2 linked regions of the Caenorhabditis elegans genome follow. The protein of the gene in region 1 interacts with the protein of each later gene in a biochemical or structural test. Each region holds a gene or a part of one and is shown on either strand. Other genes may lie near its edges.

Region 1 (3,924 bases):
AATAAATTATACTTTATGTTTCAAGTAAGAGCCAAAATCTTTCCAGTCGACTTCTGCCACGTCAGTGCATTCCCATTCATCATTCGATTTTTCGATTTCAACCATAACAGGGCGGAACACATAGTTTTGTCTGAAAAAATGCAACGGAATTTAAAAAATTATAAATTGAAAGTTAAAACGCCGCAAAAATCTCACCGTTCCTGGGGGTCTTTGAATCGGAACCAATTGTCAAATCCTTCATATCCTAACAAATCGAGTAATTTCTTCATATTTTTTGTAGTCACATTGATAAACATTTGACCGGAGAAGTCCATAACTCGCACCTGAAGTTTTTTTGTAACGATACTTCCCAAAAACTAAAATTCAAAAAATTATCTAAATTCAGCTAAAATCTCAAACTTTGTCAACTTGACAATGTCACAACTCGCAGAAGTGAGTTCCGACCGCCGCACCACTGACAAGTCGGAAAAATTTGAGATTTTAGCTGAAAATAGGCTATTTATCCAAAACATTAAAAATGTTCTATATTAGGAAATAGGCAATATAAATATAAAGAACATACTCTAGAATACATCGACAATTCAGATTTTCCTTGGGAATCCTTACAAAACTCGCATTGATTCGCTGCTTCTGGGAGAGAGTGTTTGCATTTCGAACATCTGAAACCAATATTATTATATTAATTATCAAGGAATCAGTATGTACCCTGCATAAAAATCCAAATTTAAATCGAGTAAGTTAACTTGGACAACTGTTTTTTTGATTTTCGTGTCTGACAATTCGTGGATAACTGAAATAATAATTTTTTTAGGTGAAAACTCGAAATGGCTCACATCTGGGTTTGATGCAAAACGGCTTCTTGGCAATTGAATGGCGTCGGATACCGGATTTCGCACCATTTTCCTTATTTTTCAGAACTCTATCAATATAGATTTCTGTAACATCGCCTGAGCTTGCTGAAAGTTTACGAAAAATTAAATCAATAGCTACAATCGATTGAGCATTACATTTTTTACAGACTTCCGCGTCGACATGAATTCTGTCGCCAAATTTAATATCAGAGCCACGATTGTAGCTACAAGTGGCCAGGATTAGAGGAGTTGAGCTGGATTCTTGAAGAATAATTCGGAATTTATCCTTTTCGTAGATTCGAGAAACACGCAAAACATCGGCGTGGATTTCTGAAAAAAGACTCCGGATTACGAGAATTACGGAATAAAGAACAGTTTTCAAAAAGGAGAGCCAATTCTAGAGCTTAACTAACCTTTAAACTCCTTCTTCTTTTCTTTTTTCGAATGTTTTTTACTTTTTTTAGAAGAACTGCTGGTTGATTTTTTTGCTGGTGGAGCTTCGAAATCTTCGAAACCGCCGCTAGCCGGCCGTTTTGTAGTTGTTGAGCTCGTTCTGAAAAGAAAAACTTCGAGCTAGATAGCACCTTTGAAACTTACCCTTCTCTTCGAAACGGTGAAACGAAAGCGCTCGACCCATTGTTTTTGCGCACGAGAGGGGAAGAAAATCCGCCTTTAGACGAGGATTTGCTCTTGAGATCACTCTGAATTTGAAATTTTTTATATTAGAAGAATAAATGTGTTGTCGAAGTTAATTTCAGAATATGTTCCATTATTTCCTTTTAATTCCAAAGCTTACATTCAACATCTTCTTTGATTTATCAATCGATTCCTGCTTCACATCAATTCGGATACCAGCCGCTGTTGAAAAAACCGGTTCCATTGATATCGGTACGCCTTTCGGCTCATCAAAGCTGTCTGGTTCAGATATTGTGTCGAAACTGTCTTTTCTGAAAACAAAGAATTGCAATTCATGTATGTTTCTCAATTTTCTTGCTATAACAATAAAATAAATCTTGACTAACACTTTTTTAGATGAGTCACCCATCGGTCGATGTCACAATATTCTGGTAAAGTCTGAAAATTTCATTTTGAGTTCAGAAATTTGAGATTTCAATTGAAAAAAAGGGAAAAAATTAAATTTTTGTTTTTCAAATAAACTGAGAATTTTACTGTCCGGTGGAGCGTAATTGCATTATTTCCTTTTTGAGAAAAAAATTGCGACACTAATTTATTTATTTCCGCCTTTTCTTCTAATTTCGTAATGCAAAATCAATTATCTCACAAATTATAACACGAACCGTTTCTGCCGTTTAAAACTGTGGAAATAATTATATTTATGTGCGGTTTTCATTCATAAAACGAGGGGAAACCCCCAATTGACCTTTCCTCTCTGAATAAAAAAGCAAAGCAAATATTAAATCCGTGTATTTTTTGCGTCATTCTTTTCTATCTCTTACTCTTTTTGCCCCCGCAGTAATAAAGATCTAGAGAAATAGAGAAGAAAAGGAGAAAGTGAGGAAAAAAAATACATGCTCGCAGAGTTCGAAGCTTTGGTCTAACTAGTTGAGATTTCTTCCCAGCTTGATGTTTTTCCGGGTCGCTTTTTCCTTTCATCTCTTAAATTTTCATTTTCCATTTCTTGGGTATTTTCTTTTGATAATCAAATTAAAGAAAAAGCACTCGATTTTAGGTGCAATCATTCAAAAAATTCTTTTGATAAAATAATCACCTTATCACCATTTTAATGTCATTCCCGCCATGAAAACCTGATTTTACAGTCTAAACCTTTCCTATTTTCTCATGATGACGCTCTGATTTTTTTTAATTTCTCGACATAAATTTAATTTCAGCCAAACTTCAAAATGGCTCCATTGCCACGTGTGAAATGTTATTTCGATGTGGTCTGTCCCAATTCATGGATCACTATTCAGGTACATTTGTAATCTAGAAAAACTTGTTTTGATACAATTTAAACTGAAAGATTTTGTTTTTCCGGGTTTTCATTTCCATTGCCCTTCAGAATCATGTGCTTCACGTGAAATAGAAATGGGTCGCATGTGAAAAATAGATAGATCTCAGCCCTTTTTGAATGTTTTATTATTCCCGAAAATAAAAAAAGATGGAAAGAAAATCAAATATAATTTTCAGGCTCTTACATCACACAATTCTCTATTCGAGCGTATAGATTTTGAGCCAGTTTGTGATTTTAAAATTGGAATTCTTCATAATGCTCAAATCTGGAACCAACGTCGACAAGTACACAATTCGAGACTTTGGAAAACGAAAATAGGTAAGTAGTTTGAAAATATATAGAAATCCAAATAATCGCGGGAAAGTTATTTCAGAAGTTCCAGAGCAAGCAGAAAGCGAAGAAACACTCTCAGAAATGGGAATTCTACAAAAAATCGACGAGCGTGGCAAGAAACTTATTGGTTGTGAGCGTGTCGTGCCACCTGTAGATTGGAAAAACGTTAGATTGATTTCGAATATTTATTCTCAAACAAATATTTTTAGACCTACAAAACAGCGGTAGCACGTGGATCGGTCATCCCTCAGCTGTTCCTCACTTCAATCCGTGAACAATACCCAGACCTCTATGAAAAAGCAATTCATCACTTGGGAAAACGGCTCTGGGAGCAGCGACTTCCAGTTCACTACGGGTGTCACATGTCTACAGTATGCCGTGAACTTGGAATCTCATTCAAAATCGCAGAAGACATTGTGGCTCGTCTCTCATCTCCAGAAAATCGATCGATACTACACAAAAATTGCAAAGAAGCCGTGGATTTCAAAGTAAATTTTAATTTTCTAGAAATAAAATCAAGAATTTCCTTTTTCAGCTTACTGAAGCACCCGGATTAATCTTGTTAACTGATGAAGGAGACACTATAAAAGTTGATAAAATCAATGATATTTTTGATGATAATATCATGATTTCCAAGCTCTCAAGTGTATCATCAAGCCAACCAGTCGAGCAAAAAATGTCTGCAAATCGACTTTAAATTTAGTTTTTTTGTTTCCAATTCTTCCTTCCTCACCCACCTTTTTCTTCATATTTACCCACTTTTATTGC
Region 2 (3,924 bases), on another chromosome or scaffold:
ATAGATGGAAAACCTCTAGATCTAAACTTCGATCCCAATTGTTCACTCATCATGTGTTGAGTTTAATTTTAAGCCCAAATGAAATCAATTACCCTAGTTAGTTACAATTCTCATGCAAAGATTTTATTAACAAATTTCACTTCTTTATGTAGTTTATCAGTAGATACACATGTGTTTCGCGGTTTTTTAAATATTTATGGAATGTAGTTGAGGCATCAGCAATATGATGAAGCAAATATTTTGCACTAAAAGTCGCAATTAGCAATATATTGCTAGAATGTTGGTGGTCCCGCAGCGAGATTAGCGATTTGCAAATTGCATCTAAAATACTGGTGGCCATAAGTATTTTATAACGGCGAATCACCTGTGTCATAGCCTTTCTAAATTATTTGCACTTTCATCATAATTTTTTTTCTTGCGATTCTCTCCATTTTCCGTTCAATGAACGATTTAATACGCATGTTCAATAATAATAAAATTTATCCGAGAGGAGTACAGAAGAAAATTAACATCGCTGCGAGACCAATCGCTACAGTACTCAATGTCGATTTACGGAGGAAACATGTTTTGATTTCTCATTGTTTCTTTTGTCATTTTTTGTCATTTTAGTTTTAAAACTTAATTATCCTCTAATGATTTGCGCGGTTTTTTATTAAATTTTTGATTATTCTCGTAGCTTTTGAGTTAAACTAATTAAAAGTCTTCAGCTATGCTAAATTTTGCTTCCTTTTCTTGAATGAAAACCTAAAATGAACAAAATTTTTTGTCATTAAATAACAACGCTTCGGTTAACGCTTGAAATTGATATTCGGAAAATAAAAAGCCTGATTTTTGTTCGATTTCTGAAATATATTTCATGCTTTACCCGTTTTTAATTGCGAACAATTCTAAATTTGAAATATAATTTTCAATCAACGAAAAACAATTTTCAAGATAAAAAATTATTATATAAATTTAAGCTAAGTATTAATAAATTAATAAGTAATAGTATTCAAAAATCATAGAATCTTGCAAGAAAAAATGTTTTAAAGATTTAATAGTTCGAGTGATTGAAAAACGAATAGTACTTTAAAAAATAATGCTTTAAGGCAGAAAAGTGATATAAAAATTAAGCTCAAAAGGGCAAAAGATAAGGTTAATGTCCAGTTTTGGTTTTAAAATGGTTCGGACACAATGTACATAGTAGACATTTGGGTGTCCTCTTCCTTCTCTTTTCCCCATTGCGTCCACTGACCCTCCTTGCTGTATGTCTGCGCATCGTCTTTTTCTACACTTTTTCCTTTTCCCTGGCCCGTTCCTATCGGTGCCTTTCACACACGCGAGCGGCAGTGGACGAGACGGGAGGGCGAGGTGTTGAACAAGAGTACAGCAAGTGCGCGCCATCGAAAAAGCGGAAAAAAAAATTTCAAATGGCGCTACTTTGAAAATTGAGAATTCTGTATTTACTGCCAGTTTTACTTGCATTTAAATTTCCATGTTTTCTATTCTAAAACGAAAATCTATCTAAGAAAACCCTTAATAAAAACCTATAAATCATAAATTGTGATTCTTAAATTCGAAAATATGTTCGTTCAACTTGACGCCTAGAAATATGTGGACTTAATCCTGTTATAAATCAGTAGTTGACGACAAAAATAGTAGAGCAGCAAAAGCAGTTCTAACTTGTGAAAAACATGAAAGTTCTTGTTTTCGTCAAGCGAACGGGGGCTCGAGGAAGGACTTGGCACGTGTCTCTAGGCCATGTTTTTCTCAATTTTTGTTGCTCTAGAGAAAGCTTTTGCTATTGATTATGGGACAATCTTGGGGATATGAAGGTAACATTTTAAAAATAAGTTTAGGTAAATGTGTAGCATAATTTTTGAAAAAAAAAGCTCCACTGTTAAAAATGCCGATTTTAGGGATTGCGAAACGTTCACTATGTACACATAAATGGCTATATAATTTGAATTTGCATTCAATAAATCTTTTCCTTCCAATTGTATGTTTTAACTTAAAAATAATTAATTAAAATTATCTCAGGAGTCAAAAATGTCAGCTCAAGCAAGTCGTCAAAAGAAATCGGATCAAGAGCAGCGTGCAGCTGATCAAGCTTTGCTCAATGCAGCAATCGAGGATAATGCGATGGAGCAAGATGAAAACTTCACAGTTATCGATAAACTTGAGTCTTCAGGAATCAGTTCTGGCGATATTTCAAAACTAAAAGAAGCTGGATACTATACATACGAATCGCTGGCATTTACTACAAGACGCGAACTCCGAAATGTCAAAGGAATTAGTGATCAGAAAGCTGAAAAGATAATGGTGAGCATATCAAAAAATCAGCTTATTCGAGAATTAAAGAAAAAAACTAAAAATTCTGTGGCTTTATTTTTCAAAATCCAATTAATTGAATTGAAAGTATCAGAAAAGTTGATACATTTTTCGAGGTTAGCTCCGAAAAAGAATGAAACGATCAGCTGCAAGGTCAGTTTTGACGGCAAATCGACCAGCTGTGAACATGTAGACATCGGCCTCATATTTCAATGATTTAATTTCAGAAAGAAGCCATGAAATTCGTGCAGATGGGATTCACGACGGGAGCCGAGGTTCATGTGAAGCGAAGCCAGCTGGTGCAGATCAGAACTGGATCTGCTTCACTTGACAGACTGTTGGGTGGCGGTATCGAAACAGGCAGTATCACTGAGGTGAGTTTATCACGGATAAACTGACAACAGTACTCAATAAAACATTTATTTCAGGTTTACGGAGAATATAGAACAGGAAAAACTCAGCTTTGCCACAGTCTGGCAGTCTTGTGTCAATTGCCGATTGATATGGGAGGTGGTGAGGGAAAATGTATGTATATTGATACCAATGCCACTTTTCGACCCGAACGAATTATTGCTATCGCTCAGAGGTTTGTGATTGAGAATTATTCTTAAAAATCCTGAATTTGTCATAATTTGATCTCCCGACTTGAAAATTTAAAAAAAAATTAAAATTTATTTCGAGAAATCAGTAACATATTTTCTCAGTCTGAAAATAGCTGTTATTTTTGCTTGAACAATTGAAAAGGCCAAAAATGGTCTGCAAGTTGGAAATTGCCGTAAATGAACTTTCAGAGATGTTCCGGGTCTTTTTTTGGCGAATTTCAACTTGCAGGCAATTTTTTAGCCTTTTCCTTATTGTTTCAACAAATATAAGTTTTTTTTTTCAGATAAAGTAAATATTTCTCTATATTCTATCACTAAGTTTGAAATAAAAACGTTTGGAGAACAAGTCGCAATGGCTCATTTTGTACAATTACTGGTTTACGCCACATGGCTTGAATTTTGGCATTTGAGAATTTACCTTATTATGGATCTTGTAGCATTTTTTTGAATATCGAAGTAATTTCTTGCAGATACAATATGGACAGTGCTCATGTACTCGAGAATATCGCTGTTGCACGTGCATACAACTCAGAACATTTGATGGCTTTGATTATTCGAGCAGGTAAATCTAAATTTCAAAAAATAAAAAAATAAACTTTTTCGTGCCATAGGAGCAATGATGTCCGAGAGTCGTTATGCTGTTGTGATTGTTGACTGTGCAACTGCTCATTTCCGTAACGAATACACTGGAAGAGGAGATCTAGCGGAACGTCAGATGAAGCTCTCTGCTTTTCTGAAATGCCTTGCCAAGCTTGCCGATGAATATGGTGTCGCTGTAATTATTACCAATCAAGTTGTAGCACAAGTCGACGGAGGAGCCTCGATGTTCCAGGCTGATGCTAAAAAGCCCATTGGAGGTCACATCATCGCTCACATGTCTACTACCAGGTAAACATAGTTGGAGGTTTTCTGAAGATTTTGAACAAATAGAGAACATATTTAATTTTTTTATTAAACATTACATGTGGTCTTTTTGAGGATTTTTTAAAGAAGAAAAATTAAGTTATTCATA

Evidence for each region.
Region 2: the proteins of brc-2 (region 1) and rad-51 form a complex in vitro, tested with the Caenorhabditis elegans proteins (one study listed by BioGRID).

The regions. Positions count from the first base shown.
Region 1 is NC_003281.10:6,901,182-6,905,105, forward strand, and holds the start of brc-2 (DNA repair protein brc-2), read right to left. Parts: upstream 1,926-3,924; 5' UTR 1,897-1,925; coding exon 1,874-1,896; intron 1,799-1,873; coding exon 1,648-1,798; intron 1,553-1,647; coding exon 1,449-1,552; intron 1,405-1,448; coding exon 1,265-1,404; intron 1,182-1,264; coding exon 1,008-1,181; intron 957-1,007; coding exon 834-956; intron 791-833; coding exon 706-790; intron 660-705; coding exon 563-659; intron 324-562; coding exon 196-323; intron 131-195; coding exon 13-130; intron 1-12. Other genes in the region: T07E3.3 (DSBA-like thioredoxin domain-containing protein), read left to right, coding at 2,714-2,782, 3,000-3,141, 3,197-3,321, 3,366-3,644, 3,692-3,853. UniProt on the Caenorhabditis elegans protein: Required for the homologous recombination repair of DNA double strand breaks, thereby playing a role in chromosome integrity. Acts by targeting rad-51 to sites of DNA damage and stabilizing rad-51-DNA filaments by blocking ATP hydrolysis catalyzed by rad-51.
Region 2 is NC_003282.8:10,282,110-10,286,033, reverse strand, and holds the start of rad-51 (DNA repair protein RAD51 homolog), read left to right. Parts: upstream 1-1,789; coding exon 1,790-1,814; intron 1,815-1,898; coding exon 1,899-1,978; intron 1,979-2,019; coding exon 2,020-2,301; intron 2,302-2,537; coding exon 2,538-2,684; intron 2,685-2,738; coding exon 2,739-2,896; intron 2,897-3,382; coding exon 3,383-3,474; intron 3,475-3,523; coding exon 3,524-3,800; intron 3,801-3,924.